2 linked regions of the Struthio camelus genome follow. The main gene of each other region encodes a partner of the protein of the gene in region 2 in a complex. Links are inferred from orthologs where the notes say so. Each region holds a gene or a part of one and is shown on either strand. Other genes may lie near its edges.

The links. The genes of interacting proteins can lie anywhere in the genome.
Region 1: the proteins of VEGFC (region 2) and FLT4 are in contact, whole or in part, in a crystal structure (PDB 4BSK), measured with the Homo sapiens proteins. The link is inferred for Struthio camelus from reciprocal best matches to the Homo sapiens genes VEGFC and FLT4. Residues at the interface, in NP_005420.1 of Homo sapiens: Leu119, Asp123, Trp126, Gln130, Asn167, Arg210; in NP_891555.2 of Homo sapiens: Gln172, His199, Asp200, Ala201, Leu202, Tyr203.

The regions. Positions count from the first base shown.
Region 1 is NC_090954.1:7,201,638-7,209,668, forward strand, and holds the start of FLT4 (vascular endothelial growth factor receptor 3), read right to left. Parts: upstream 3,056-8,031; 5' UTR 2,964-3,055; coding exon 2,906-2,963; intron 1-2,905. UniProt on the Homo sapiens protein: Tyrosine-protein kinase that acts as a cell-surface receptor for VEGFC and VEGFD, and plays an essential role in adult lymphangiogenesis and in the development of the vascular network and the cardiovascular system during embryonic development.
Region 2 is NC_090945.1:47,927,089-47,934,638, forward strand, and holds the start of VEGFC (vascular endothelial growth factor C), read right to left. Parts: upstream 3,077-7,550; 5' UTR 2,815-3,076; coding exon of another isoform or gene 2,764-2,814; 5' UTR 2,526-2,763; coding exon 2,382-2,525; intron 1,452-2,381; exon of another isoform or gene 1,338-1,451; coding exon of another isoform or gene 1,299-1,337; intron 1,279-1,298; exon of another isoform or gene 1-1,278. UniProt on the Homo sapiens protein: Growth factor active in angiogenesis, and endothelial cell growth, stimulating their proliferation and migration and also has effects on the permeability of blood vessels.

The sequences.
Region 1 (8,031 bases), on a different chromosome or scaffold from region 2:
CCTTCCCACGCCGAGGGCGCCGGGCGGCCCGACCGCGGGGTCCAGAGACGCCCCCCCGGGGGCGGCGATGCCGCGCGCGCGGCGGCACGCGTGCCAGAGCCCTCGGCGGGCTGGCGGAGCGGGGTGGGCGATGCCGGAGGTAGCCCCCCTCCTGGCCGGGATGGGTCCGTCCCCGTCCCGCGCTGCCCCGGGGACATTGTGCCGCTGGGGGTGTGTCCCCCGGCCAGACGTCAACTCCAGCTCGGCAACAAACATCCTCGTGGCTGTTTTTGCAGGCACGGAGCCGCTGGCTCGCGTGCCCGAGCCAAATCCCAGGGTGGTAATTGCAGCCCATTCATCTGAATTTCTCCTTAAACAGACAGCAGGGCACGGGGGCTCCGGCCGCCCCCTCGCCGGGAGCCCCGCAGCAGCGCTCGCGAGCTGCGGCCCCGCAGCCCCCCCATCGCCCGCCTCCCCGGCCCTGGATCTGGTTCAGCACTAACAAGTGGCTGGATTAAACCAGAGTGGGGTTGGTTGCGCGCTCACGAAAGGGTGTTGCCGAAATGGCCCCTGTTTATTACTTGCAATAAAGCAACTGCTTCAAATCGCAGCTGCAAACCCAAATGTTGCTGCTGGCACCGTCCGAGCAGCACCCGGACGGGGGGAGGTCTGCGCGCTCTTCGAGGAGGGTACGCGGCTTCAGCCAACGCAGTCGGCCCGCGTCCTACACAGGCACGGGCCCTTCTGAGAGATGATGTTCAAAGCGGCAAGCTGGGGTCCCCCGCCGACGTTGCTCGGCTGCGGGGCGGTGAGCTCTCGTCCTGGCGCAGAGCGTGGCTGCTCACCGCCGCTGCAAGAGCCGGGCAGGGAGCGCACGCTCCCACGCGCCGTCCGCAAAGGGCCACCCCGAGACGCACCCCGTCTGCTCCCCGCCATGGTGCGCGCGCAGGGCAGCACCGCGGCTGCTCCATCCAGGCAGAGGGCAGCAGCCCGCGTCCACCACGCGCCCTGCAGAGAACCTCCAAGCCGGGACAGAGCGAAAGGCCACGCGCTCTCAGAAAGAGGCAGACACCCCCAATCCGCGATGGCCCATTTAGCCCAGCGATGGGGTGCAGCAATACCCAGGACACAGGAACCAGAGTGAGAGCAGAAGAAATCTTTCACAGTCTCAAGATCCTTCTTACCTTCTGGGTGGACCAATCTCATACCCATGTCCCTGCTTCCAGGGAGAGCAAGTATTTGCACCTAGCTGTAAAGACGTTAAATGGGGATTTGATGCACTGAAGAATTTGTGGGTGCTTTGTGCACGAGACATTGGGTCCCACAGTCGAGCTCTGTGTCAACCTTCCTTGTGGCACTAATCAGGCAGCGCTGGAGAGCTTCAAAGCTCTGCACAGCCCTTAGCTGATTAGGCCCACACATCACGCAGCAGCGCGCTGGTCAGAGTATCCCCAAGGCAAAGCTCCCAGCACCTCCGGGAGATGAAAGAACCTGAGGAACAGCTACAAGATGCTTTACAAATTGCTAACAAAAGGGCTTTGAACAGCTGCAGCTCTCTTCGCAATGCCACCAGCAGCAAGTCCCTTTCTACCCTGCCTCCCGGAGCTCCCCTTGAGGTCCAACAGCCTGGCGAGTCCAGGACACAAGGCAAATTGGCAGCATTTGGGACAGTGCAAGCTCTCCGTGTGGTGCCCTCCCCGTGGTCCTGCCCTGGCAGTGCCCTCTGCCAGCGATGCTCCCCATAACACACCTCCGTACCCTTCGCAGCAGGGACGGGTTGGACCTGCAGCCCTCCTGCGAGCTCGCTTTGACGACGGCAGCAAACGCAGCCGGTGACAGTGAGTCACCGAGCTGAGGTTACAGCGAATTCTATTTATGCTCCCAAAATTCATCTCCCCATGTTGGAAGCTTCCTGCGTTACTAACTTTTCTGGCAGCCTCGCTCTTATCTGGGCTGTCAACGCTTTGCTGTTGCATCCAGGAGCGTGCCCAGCCTGAGACGGTGGAGCTGGTGCCCCACGCCCACTCCCTGGGCTCCTGCCTGGTGGCGAGCGCCCCACGTCGCTCCCTGCCTGCTCCGTGCCCACTTTCCGCTGGCAGCGGTGGCCTGGTACCCCTCGAGATACGCCACTCACCACCCTGCAGCCTCCTGGCACCAAAATCAGCTCCCTGCTCTGCGCAGGAAGGGAGGGCCCCCGCGGACCCACAGCAACGCGCACCCCGCTGCAACAGCCCGGAGCGCCGCGCTACGCGGGGCCGCGGAGGCTCAGCCGGGAAAGCAGACGCGGTTGGCCACGCGCACCCCGCCAGGCCCAGCACCCTGCCCTCCGCGCCCCGGGCGGCTGGGTCGCAGCCCCGTCTCTCCGCCGCGCTCCGGCGTCCATCCGCACCGCGCCGCGGCCCGCGGCTTCAACTCTCTGCCCCAAGGCCCTTTCGCCCCAGAAGCGCTACGGCAGGAGGAGCGTTGCGCAGGGAAGGAGCGGAGCGCGGAGCCGGCCTGCGCGCTGCCCCGCCGGCGCGCCCGCAGCCCCCGCCGCGGCCCCGCGAGAGGCGGCGACGAGGGGACCGCGACGGCGCCCTCCCGGCCCGGCCCGGCCCGGCCCATCCCGGCCGCCGGGGACAGCGGGGCGGGCGGCGGCGGTGCCCGTCGGGGCGCGGCACGTCCCCAGCGGGGACAGCGGGGCGGCAGCGCCGGTGCGCGGCGCGGCCCCGTCGGGGCCGGGCGATGCCGGCGCGGGCAGCGGCGGTGCCCGTCGGGGCTCAGACCCGGCAGCGGCGGCTCCCGGCACAGCCCCGCCGGGGCCGCCCCACGTCGGCCAGCGGGGCAGAAGGGGCGCAGCCGCCCGGCAGCCTGCCCGGGGTGGGGAGGGGGGGGGGAAGGGGGGCACCACCTCGCCCGGCGCCCCGCGGGGGCCGGTGCCGCTCACCTGCCTCCGAGACAAAGCCGAGCCAGAGCCAGAGGGGCAGCGTGCAAACTCTCTTCATCTCCGGGGCGGCGGCAGGTCCCGGCGGCGCGGAGCGGTGCGCAGCGGTGCGGAGCGGAGCGCCCCGCGCCCGAGCTCTGCTCCCGCCGCGCCCCAGCTGCGGCGACGCGCGCGGCGGGCGGGGAGCACCGGGGCCGCTTCCTTTTCCTCCGCCCGCCCGGCCGGCCGCCCGCCGCCCTCCGCCGGGCCCGCGGGGCGCGGGGGGGCCGGGGCCGGGGCCGGGGCGGGGCGCGGGAGGGGGGCGCACCTGCCGGCGCCGCCTGCGCCCCGCCGCTGGGTGCGGGGGCCGCGCCGCCGCGCGGGTGGGCGTGTGTCCCCGCACGGCTGTGTGTGCATCCCTCTGCACCGGGGGGGGGGCGGCGGGGGGACTCTGTGTGTGTGTGCATGTGCGTCCCTCCCTTCACCGGAGTGCATGCCTCTGCTTCCCCGCTGCAGCCCTCCTTCATGCGTGGGCAGCCATGGGCATCCCCCTGCACCCGTGTGCGTGTGTGTGTGCTTCCCCCTGCACCCGTGTGCGCGTGTGTGTGCATCACCCTGCACCTGTGTGCACCTGTATGTGCACCACCCTGCACCTGTGTGCATGTGTGTGCATCCTCCTGCACCTGTGTGTGTGTGTGTGCACCCACCCTGCACCTGTGTGCACCTGTATGTGCACCCACCCTGCACCTGTGTGCGTGTGTGCACCACCCTGCATCCGTGTGCATGTGTGTGCATCCTCCTGCACCTGTGTGCACCTGTGTGTGCATCCTCCTGCACCTGTGTGCGTATGTGCACCACTCTGCACCTATCTGCTTGTGTGTGTACCCTCCCTGCACCTGTGTGCATGTGTCTGCATCCCCCTGCACCTGTGTGCTTGTGTGTGCAGAACCCTGCACCTGTGTGTGTCGCTGTGCTTCTTCCCTGCTCTGGCGTGCACGGGTGTGCGTCCTCCCCATGCCTCTGTGCAAGTGTGTGTATCCCCTTGCATCTGCGTGCATGGGTGCCCTGCATCTGTGTGTCCGCATGTGCATACCCCCTGCATCCGTGTGGGCATGCTTGCGCTCCTCCTCATATCTGCATGGACACGCATCACCCTGCATCTGCGTGCAAATGCCGATGCACCCCCTGCCCCTTACTTGTGCTAGTGTGCACACACACACACTTCCTCAGACCTGTGGGAATGCACACAAATATCCTCTCGCACCAGCATGCACACGCACAAGCCTCATACTTGAACATGCACCCCTCACACCTGCACGCACACACCCCTTCATGCCTGCATGCACACACACACACGCGCGCGCAATACCCCACACCTCACACCTGCACACGCACGCCTAGGCACACAGTTCTCCTGCAGCCCCGCTCCCCCCGCACACCCCCCAAGGGCACACAGCGACGCACACGCGCTTCCTCCCGCCCCGGGCGCAGCCTCGCTCCCGCACACCCTCGCCTTGGGGGGCGCGAGGGCGCCCCGGTGCTGCAGCCCGCCCGTGCACGCCGCCGGCAGCGTGGGGCAGCCGCGTCGCTGCGCGGCCCCTCGCCCCCTGCACACCCGCTCCGCTCCCCAGCACCGCTACACGTGGCATGCGGCACCCCTCGCCGACAGACCCGCGCCCGAATCCGCACCCAGACACGTGCGTGCCACGAAACACGGGGCCGGCGCGCACGCCGGCCCGCGGAGACACCCTCTGCGGCACGGGCTGCTCCCTGCCTGCTCCCTCCTCCGCCAGCTCTTCGCTGCTTTCTTTCCGCTCGCTTTTCCCTTTTCAAGTCATTCTTCATCCTGCAGGCGCGTTGCCAGCCCCAGCCCTCCGCCTCGGCGAGCCGAGGGGCGCCGGGAGCCGTGGGGCCGGTGGGCCGCTCCGCACGCCCCTCGGCTGCCCCGGGGGCCGCAGCCGTCTCCTCCGCGGACGGCGGGATGCCATCTGCCACGCGCGGCCGGGAAGGCGCTCGGCTGCGCCGCGGGCGCCGAGGCGCTGCCAGCTGCTGCCGCAGCTCCGCGCGCGCCCCCAGCCAGCGCCGCTGCCCCCGCGCCGCTGCCAGCGAGGCCGGGCTTCGCGCCCCTGCAAAACCGTCCCTTGAGAAAGCACCCTGGGCGGCTGGACGCGACGGGTGGCCGACGCGGGTGCCTGCCGGCCCGCGGGGTCCCTGCGGCCGGCCGTAGGATCCCGGGGTACCGGGGCGGTCAGGAGCTCCAGAGCTGGTGGAAGGAGGGAAAAAAAAATCTCCTTCTTGGGCCAGGCGCCACCAAGCAATGAAGAAAGAGGGAAAAAACCCCGCGAAGAAGATGAAAGCGGAGAGCTGTGCAGAAATGCCATTCAATTAGCAGCTAGTAACCGGTAATCTCCGTGCAGACGGACGCAGCGTCGTGCGGAGCTTTAAATAAATAAAGAAACGCGGCCCCGCGCTGCGCCGCGGCGGTTTATTAATCACGGCCCGTTTGCAGAAGCCCGAAGGAGACCCGTGTGCTCGCGGCTTTAAACAGGCGCGAAAACCTTCTGCGCGCTCGAGCGCTCTCGCTGCCCAGCCTGCGCAAGAAACACCGGCAGCCCTTCTGCCCGGCCCGCGAGGCAAGCCGCAGCCGCCGCAAGCACGGCCCCAGCGAGGATTTTGCGAGCTTTTAACCCCGAGAGCACCCGGCCGGGCTGTTCTTCAGCACGCTCGTCTTGAACCAACCTCCCGGCCCAAAACCCGAGGGGGCCCCGGCAAGGCCGGGCAGCGCGGGATGGGGTCCCTCGGCGGAGCCGCGCCGCCCCGGTGCTCCCGGCCGTGGCAAGGCCAGAGCGATGGAGCCGCGAGCAGGGGCGAGAGGCTGGAGGGAGCGCCCCGCCGAGAGGCGGCCCGACCTCCCCGGCACCCCGAAAGCCGAAGCATTTCGGCATCGCTTAGCTCCGTGCAGTCCAAATTTGGCACCCGGCCGGGGACCGGCCCGCCCGTGCTGCCATCTAACGGCGGGACGTGCGGCAGAGCGAGACCAGGGGAGCAGCCAGGACAACGCGGCCCGTTCCAGGGGACAGAGAGCGAGGCCGGGCCCTCGCGCGCTCGGATGCCCGCTCCGCCGGGCAGCGGGCTTCGGTGCAACGCGGCTTTTTTTCAGGGAGGAGCAGGGAGGCAGCGGTGCCGCTTCGGGGCTGGGCCCGCGGCGGCGGTGCCGCTCGCTGCCGGCAGCCCGTGCCGAGCGCGGTGCCGCCGTCCCCCAGGCATCCCGCCGCCCGGCGATGGCTGCCGTTCGCTCCCGAGCCCGAGCTGCTTGCGTTTCGGGAGCAGAGCCACCCTGGGGTGGGGGGGGGAGACGACGGGCCGCTGCCGTCGAACCGCCCCGGCATCTCGCCCGCTCGCTGCAGCCTGTCCGAGCAAGCGGCTCTTCCTGCTCTGCTTTTCCCCTGCTCGCGGCGGGCGGCGAGGGGACGCGCCAAGAGCAGGGCAGGCAGGCGTCGGGGACATCCGCCCGCGCTCCCTGCAAGGCGCTCTCCTCCGGCCGCTGCAAGGCAGAGCCCCTCGCCCCCGTGCCCGGCGGGGCAGGGAGAGGGACAGGCGGAGGACGCGCTGGGACGAACGTCCTTAGGCACGGCTGTAAGGAGCCGGGAAGCCCTCCTGGCCCTCACCGCGGCGCAGGGCCTCGAGCCTCTGCAGAGCGAGAGCTCCCTCGCTCCCGCCAGCACCTCAGGCTACGCGGGGCCGGATTAGCGGCGGCCTCCGCTTTGACCCCGAAGCGGACTTCGGTGGCATAAACACGGCAATCCCACCCCGGCCACGGCCGAGGCCTCCGCCCACCCGGCCCCAGCACCTCCGGCCTCCCAGAAGCACCGCCGAGGCGAGACGGCAATGCAGCCGGCCTCCCCGCGGGCGAAAACCGCGGCAGCAGAATCCAGTCGACCTCTCCCTGGGGGAGCCCGGCTTTGCCTTCCCGCCAGGGCTGCTCCGGGGGGGGAAGGAATCGGCTCGGTGCCGCCGGAGCATCCGCCACCGTTACGGCGGGACAAGCCAGTGCTCGGCGCGAGGGTGCACGCGGGCACGAGAGGGGCTACAAAGCCAAGGAAGGAGCGAGCGCCCGCATGCAACGATCCGCCATACCCGGGATGCTCCAGAGCCAGCCAGGACGGGGCGGCTTCCGGATCACACAGAGACCCGAGTCCCTGGCTGGGCTCTCAGTTAAGGCCGTCCCGTGCTCGGCCCTTGCTGCCTCATGCTTTGCAGCAGCGGGGAGGCTGGGGCACAGGCAGAGCCACGTCCCTCGGGGTGCCCGCTGTCGGGACGCGGAGGCCCCAGGCCTGGGCTTGGCTCAGACGAACCCTCCCCACTCCTCCAGGCTGGGGCGTCGCGCTCGCTGCCAGCTCTCCCCCAACACGGCCCCCTTTCCAAGCAGTCCGACCAAGGGGGTCAGCAAAAGGCTAAAAGCATCTGGCAAGATGGCTGGGGAGCGCCCCAAGGGTACGGCGGGGCCGCTGCAGCCACTGCTCCCATAAGGGAAAGTCCCTCGCTGGGATCAGAAGAACATCTAAAACCCCAGTTGCTTCAATGCAGAAGTAGCTGCGCGGCAGGTTGCACACCCGCCAGGTCCCCAGCGCTGGCACGGGCTGCCCTAACCCAAACACCGCTGCACACACATCCCCGCCGCCCAGCCCTCCAGGACCATCTCTCTTCCTAGCTCCTGTGCTACAGGGCAGAGGGGAAGCAGCCTGGCCCGGAACAGGGACCGGAGCCACACACGGCTGCTCCACATCCCCCTGGGTCGTGCCATACCCCAGCCCTCGGGCTCCTCTGCAGTCTGCAAGACACGAGCCAGTACAGCAGGCAGCAGCCTTTCGAAGCTTTAATGGTGGCACCGCAGCTAGAGCTGGGGGGAGCCAGTCCCGCGGCCTCTCAGGTGCAGCGGGGCCCGGGCCATGCTCTGGCCGAGCACGGAGCTCCCTCTGCCGGGAGCGGTCCTGCAGCCTCCCGGGAAACGCGCTCCAAGCAGAGGAAATCCCCTCATCTGGGCTCAGAAATCCTTCATGCGTGGCCACCCCGGTGGCACACGATGGATGCAGGCCCTCGCGGGCATCGCTCATGTTCTTGGCCCTTGGAGGCACCTGATAACGGGTCCT
Region 2 (7,550 bases):
AAAACAGGGAAACCGTAAAAATCTACAAACACAAGCCAGCACGCATTTTTCATTTGATTTAAGAAAGTTCAAGTAAATGACTTTTTACTGACAGTATAATCACATTTTCCTTGAACTAATTACTTACAGTTTACTTATTTAATCCTTTCTAATTACTCCAGGCATTCATCTCAATAGTCTCTCATCCCAGGGACAAACACGCACAATACACGCTCACTCAAACAGTTCCAGAAAAAAATCAGGGTAACTCACAACTAAGACTTCCAACGTCACCAAGGCTGCTCAGACGCTGAATCTCATATTACTGTTCACCACTAGTCAGGCACAAAATCATTTTCTTTGTTAATATAATTGTTTAACATATGCTATCCCACTCACTTCCCAGGCTGCTGACCTTTTTCCTTCGCTCTGCTCACGGTTCCCCTTTTTCCAGGGAACACTTGCACTTCTACAAAACACACTTCAGTGGTAGCTCCTAAAGATTTAGAGGTTTCAAGAAGCAGGGTAACTATCTACAGCATGTGCATGGAAACGTACAGCATCACTTAGGAGGGTATCTTTACTATCAGCTGTTCTACCTCAGTAGTTTAAACGCACAAAGTATGCACTGTGCTCCAGTTTTGATTCCTTCTACCTTTTCAGCACAGGCTGTTCTGAGGGTTTACAATACAAAAATCAATTTCACTCAGGAAATAACTGGCTCACTATCATAAGCTGGAGTTTCTTTGTTTTTTATGTTTTTTTAAAATTATTTAGACTATTTATAACAATGCAAAACTTAGTGAATGATAAGATAAAATAAGTGACCAGCCAGACTGATTTTGTGTCCCTATTTTTAAATATTTAGATTTGCAAAATACTTGATAAGCATTCAAGCAATATAATCACTTAGAGCATTAAGGATGTTAATATATAAGCATTCAGGCTCTAATTGAAATGTCTGAAGAGGGAGTACAATATCCTCAGTAACCTTTTCTATTTAGAGTATTATTGGAAAAGCATGAATTCTGTGAGCTACACATGGTCTACAACAGCTTGAATATCCAAAATAAGTACAGCTAATGCACATTATCAGAACCTGAGTCTGACTTCCCATCCAATTACAGTAAACTTTCCTAAACTTTCAATCAGTAAAGCAAACAGCATTAGTATATTAAACTTATTTCATTAACCAGATTAAAAATATCACTGTAAATCTAAAAAACAAAAAAGTGCAGAATAGCAGCTGAACTCGTAATTCACACATTTTGTACTTTTTTTCCTCCATACTTCAGTGGATAATGAATGAGCTGACTCACCATTGCTTTTGACAAGTATGCTGCGAATCTTAAGAACATCTACATCAGGGTAAGACTTGTTACGAACTCGGACATCAAAGGTCTTTCTAATAACATCGCCTGCTTACACAAGTATATACTACACATCCTTTTCATGCATCAGCGTACTGGGAACTGCAAAACCACAAAGTTTGCTGAAAGGTACTTGAATTCTAAGTTATGAAACTTCCAACAGAAATAAAAATTAACATACAATCGGAACTTGAGAACGTATGTAGAACCTTAACTGTACTGTACGCCTGGACAGTTTTCAAATCCAAGTGTCAAGTTACACCTTCTATAAACTCTGTCACGCAGCAGTAGGTCACTGCAGTTTCAATAACTCCAAGAGACTTTTCAACAAATGGAAAGTCTCAGTTTTTGTTGTCATCGTCCCCCACACGTTTCCCTCGCTACTTCATTCCTATGCACAGCTGCTGCTCGAAGCGGTGCTCAGCCCTTCCTCCAGCAGCTAGCTCCCCGCTCTGCCCCGCCGAGCCCGTCGCGGGCACCCGCACAAAGCCGCCGGCGCCCCCCGGCCCCCCGCAGCCCTGCCCTCGCTGAAGAAGCCTCCAGGGCCGCCGGGACCCGCCGGCCGGGGAGCACTCCGGCTGCCAGCGCCGAGGCAAGCGACAGCCGAAGCCGCGGGTCGCTGCCGCCTCCGGGCCGAGCGGCGGCCGGCGGGGCCGCGGCCGCGACCTCTCCCCGCGGGACAGCCCCCGGCCACGGCCACGCAGCACCAAGGACCGCGGCAGGGGCACAGCCCTCGGGCTGCCTTTGCTGATCAGGTGTTTTGCGTTTCTTTGTCAACACGGTTCTTCCCTCTGCAACCACCCTTCCAGCAACCCTGAAAAAAACCCAGAAACTTTTTTTTCTTTTTCTTTTTTTTTTTTGGCTTAAACAAATCCCCCCAACCCCCACCCCGGGTTTTGGAAGAGCTCCCATTTCAAAAGGCTTCTCCCAAATATTTTCCTCCGCGGGATTTCCAAGCAGCCCGTCCGAGCGCACTCTCAGGCGCATGCCTGCAGAAGGCAGCTCGCATCTGCTGCGGGGGCACGGACGTACCTTCGCCTCCCCCGCGTCGGGCTCCTCCTCGTAGTACCCCTGGCCGGACTCGTAGGCGGCGGCGGCGGCCGGCTGCCGGGGTCCCAGGAGCACGGCGCCGGCAGCCAGGCAGCAACCCAGGGAGAGCACCTCCAGCAAGTGCATTGTGCAAAGATGGCAGGGCGGGCGCGCCGCGGAGCCACGGGGCACTTGGAGGAATGCAGGCGAAATTAGGAGGCTCCTTCTCTTCCTCTCCCCCTTCTTTTGCTGCCGTCTCCCCCCTCCCTCTCCTCGCAATATCCAAGGCAGTAAAATCCGTGGGATGGAGAAGATGCAGTAGCAGCAGCTCCTAGACGCCTGCAGGGGAGTTCCCAACTTTCCCAGCCGCTTTGCAAATTCTCACCAAAGTTATCCGGAGTTTGCCAGGTAAAAAACCCACCAGGAAACCGGACATCCGAGGCTGCGCTCACTCAGGAGCAGGGGAGGTGGAAAGCGCAGAGAGGAGGAGGAGGAGGAGGGAAGGAAGGGAAGGGAAGGGAAGGAGGCAGAGAGAGAGAGGCAGAGCGGGAGCGAGCGGACGCTCACCCCTGGGGAGCTCCCGCCTCCCCGCGCAGCCCCTGCCCGCGCGGGCCGCGCCGCGGCGGAGGCCGAGGGGTGCGCAGAGGGGCGCCCGCCGTCCGCCGCCGCGGAGGGCTCGCCGGACGCCTGTCAGCGGCAGCGCGGCCGGGGGGTGCGCGGCGCCCGGGGCTGCGCGGCGGCCGCGGGGGCCGCGCATGGCGAAAGCGCCCTCTGCCTGCGCCTCTGCGCGGCGAGAGGGGGCGGCCGGCCGGTCGGCCGGCCTGCCTCCGCCTCCGCCTCCTCCTCCTCCCGCCGGCGGATCCGCCAAAGCCTACCGCCCTCTAGGTCCCAGCCCCGAGGGGAAAGCAAAGTTCGTCGCCGTTTCACCCAGCGGTTCCGCCACCGCATGCGGTTGGTTAAACCGCGCACCCAGCACGTCTGCAATCTTGCAAGAAAATTTCTGTTTAGTCCTGATCGGTTACTTGTTGAGCAATATTGGCTGCTCCATCTGCGAGAGTGTAACAGGCACGCAGCTTTTTTAACTGGAGGGAGAAAAAGATTTCGGCATGTTAGAAACAGACCCTGAACAGTACCTTATTTATCTGCAGTATTCCCGTCAATGAGAGTCTGGAGCCATCTTTGAACAGAAGTTCCCCCAGTTCAGAGCCCTACATAAAACAGCATAAATATGTTTTTCAGAGACACTATGATTAAAAATAAGGCTTGAGTTTTTTCTTTGTTGATGTTACTTTTTTCCTTTTAAGTACAACAAGTGGAGAACTGCATATTGCAGTAACAAAGTACAGCCTGATCAAATCCCAGCGCTGTGAAAGGAGGAGTTATATTCTGTATATTATTATTTTTGTTTGATGTGAACAGCGTTTCTGAAACTCGTGCAAAAATTTTAAAAGCTTTTCAAATTATTCTGCATCACACTTATACTTCTTTTGGTAAGAGAATTGTAAGAGAACAGATTTCTGACTGCCTTGGCTGGATCCTGGCTCTCTACTCCTATTCTAATATTCTTATTTCTGGAGTAATCCCATTATGGAACTACTTAGGGAATGACATTCAAAAGGTTATACATGAAGGTATCTCTCCATCAGGTCTTTAGGTACCTTCTATTCTTTCTACTCTATTCTTTATCAGTCTTAAGGTGGTAGATCAGCTAATAAACTATGTGGATACTACGAAACAATCACTTCATTTACAATCTGAAAAAAAATCTAAAATTTAAATAGAGCTACATTTTAACACAATTATTAAAGCACTAACATTTTTTCAATATCTTCACAGGAGAGTAAAGCAGCAAAATGAAGACAGTGGTAGAGGTTAATCAGAACAGCTATAAAGATATAAAACATAAATAAATTACAAAGCTTATTGTCCTTCAGTGGAGCCTTACAACACTGCAGATCAAAGTATAGGATTGAAGCCAGCCAGCCAGCACGCTCCAGGATGCAAAACTCATCTAAGCCAGGAACACAGCATCACTGGTTTGAGTTCAAACATGCCAAAAACTCTCAGAAGCATCACAGACTACTGCAGAAACAGAGGTATTTTGCAGCATGTTAATAAAACTGACCTGACAATATCCATTTCAATAGCCAAGTGTCACGCAGAGAGCATCTCTCAGTAACTAGATCACGAAACAAGATGAAACACTGTTCATGCTGTGCCATCATAGCATCAGCTGGCTTCATCGTTTCCCCAGTTCTCTTTACGTTCTCATTCTGTCCTTTTCCTTCCCCAATTCATAGAACTTCCATCATGGAGTCAAATATTTTCATGCAAGAAAGCACTTTCACTGACTACTCTTGTATACTTGTATATCAAGTTTAAAGTGTCATAATTGAAAGCTTGTAATCGCAATCATAGCACCTCAAGTCACAATCTGATCATAAGGTTTCTAGATTTCAGCCTATTCACTTACTGTATACTTTCTCTGCAAAGGAGTGACTATACCTTTGGCTAAGGGGTAACATTTTAAGGTTTTCCTCATTTCAGGCTGCATTTTTCTCAGTCCCATAAAAGACGGCCAATTTAAATGTTTACCGATTTAAAATCTTTTCTCCGTTCCTCATCACCAAGCAGTTGGTATTCCTTTTCTCGTCTTCAAATTAAGCAGAAAACATTATAATATTATTTATATGAAAATACCCAGATAAGGCCTACAAGGTAACTAATTTAAAGTTTTAAGTGAAATTAATACACTGGCAATGAACTGATCTTCTAAATACAAATGAGAAAAGAGATATCCTTAATAGTGCAGAAATACAGTTCTAGGTCTGGCCATGTTATGTTTTAAAGGCAATGATAGCTACTGTTGACAAACAAAGGAAATCCTTGATGTAAGCTCTATGACTCCTTCAAATGAATTCTCTCAATGTGGTTTTAAAATTACATTAAAAAATCCAGACTCCCCCTTAATTAAGTTGGTGTAATATACATCTGTCAAGCACATTCCTCTCTGAGTCTAGACATACCTGATACGCTCCTGTTTAATACATCCTGCCTCTCAAATGTGGATGTGTTTCAATAACTGTTTTCTATCTGTAATCATTAGCAGTAGGAAAACTCAGAGAGGAGCCACTGTAAGAAACGTGAGCTGAGACTGGGGGATTAAAAAGTGTCAATAGCAGCAAAAAAAAAAAAAAAAAAAAAACCAGTAGCATGCTATAGCAATTTGCTCTGTTTGCTTGTTGTAGAGTTTGCTTATTTTAGACTTTTCAAGGCTAAAAAAACCAAGCTGTTGAATGTTTTCTTTTGCCGTTTCAGTTCTCCTTATATTTAAACTTTAGCTAGTCATAGTTTTGTGTTTGATTCAAAACATTTGCATTTTCTCCTTAAATAGACATATAAAGGCATGTTTAAGAGTTAAAAAAAAGACAAATAGTCCTGGTTTGCTTTTGTTTTAACACAAAGTTGTCAGTGCTTAATGGTGAGTTTCAGAAGGATTTATATTTAATGTAACATTTAAAAGATGGACATTGTTGTTCTTAAGTGCTGCAACTCAAACAAACATGGAAGCTCCGTTCTGGAGTCATTCCAAAAGATGAAGGTACTCTTGTAAACCTCAGCTCCCAGTCCTGCTAAACACACAACTCTCCCATATTTCCTACAATGCTTACAAGCATGAAAAAAGTGTTTGGATACCAATCAGCATCCTAACTATCAAAGCCTTACACAAGATACTACAAAAAAGCTTAATTATATATCTAGAACAACAACGAAAAACCATTTCAGATTCAGTATCAGACTACTGAAACAGCAGAATCACTAGTGAATCTCCTGCCCATTGAATCTTTTAGTCTCAACTGTTGCTACACATTTCTTACCATATTGCTTGATGCCTTTTACCGACTTTAAGTCCTATGGAAGGCTACTGAAAAATGACACAGTGGATTTCAGGTTGTAGTCTGCTTCTTTCCTCAAACTCTCTTGCATATATAAAACATGCATATGATTTACAGTAAACACTTAGGAGTACTGCAGTTTTACTAATTGTATGCATAATGGCCTTCCTCACTTCTCACAAACAAATTTAAAAGTACAAATTTTTTTATACGGGCCCATATTAGTATTTTCTTGTATGATCCTAGAAGGATTTAAGCATGGTGGCTTGAAAGTCACCTGAAAGAACCAAAATCTTTCCCCTGACTTCAATCAGGCGTCTTCTCTGTAAAGCATAACCCATGGGAAACTGTTCTTTGCCAAACCCTCAGCCAAGGACTCCGAAATGTAGCTTTATCCATTCATTTGCCCTAAACGTATTGCCAAGATGAATAACTTTAATTCAATGAATAAAGATGTCATTGCTGCAAAATCATTTTCTGCAATGCTTAGCCTAATAACTTGCATTTTTTTATTATCTGGGAATTTTGCTTTCTTTTGGTGTAAAAATTTGTGACTCTTGAAAATTAATTAATAAGACAAGAATCCTTATTCTTCAGCCCTTTGATAGTGGTTGATATTCAGGGCTTATGGGATTATTGGGCTTTCTTTGTTCTCAGGGATCGTCTTTCTAAACTTTTAAAATCAAGACTGTTGGCACGTGACATTAGAATCCCCCAGTGATACAGACTAGACAACTGCATTAGCATAAAATCCCTGCAATCCTCGCTGTCTTAAGGGGGGGTTGGTAGAATCAAAAAATGGGCAGCACCAGGCAGCATCTCAAGGAAAGTTTTTGAATTCTCCAAAGTAAACTGTATCTCTAAAGTTGCTCTAAACTTGAATGGAGAAAGCACTAGCACACATTTTATCCAGCTGTCTTACATAAGGATCTTTCTCTTCACTATAGTTTTTTCCTCTCGTGATGCAATGTCTCACACAAGAACTGGTATGCAGAGAGTATTGATTTAACTTCATATAAAGTAATTAATCTCTCCATGTAGCAATGCTGTTCATAGTTATAACCTCTGACTATAAACAATAAAATGACTGATCATAAGTTTACACTGCCTCTTAAGTGAAAGCTGTGTGCAATCTAAACTGTCTACAATTGAAGTCACATCACTATATAAATAAATTTGGATTCTACAAAACATTAGGATTTAACAGCACACGACCATTATGCGTACAAACTCTCATCATGATACATTACTTGCCAGCAGTATTCTTCAAAGCGGC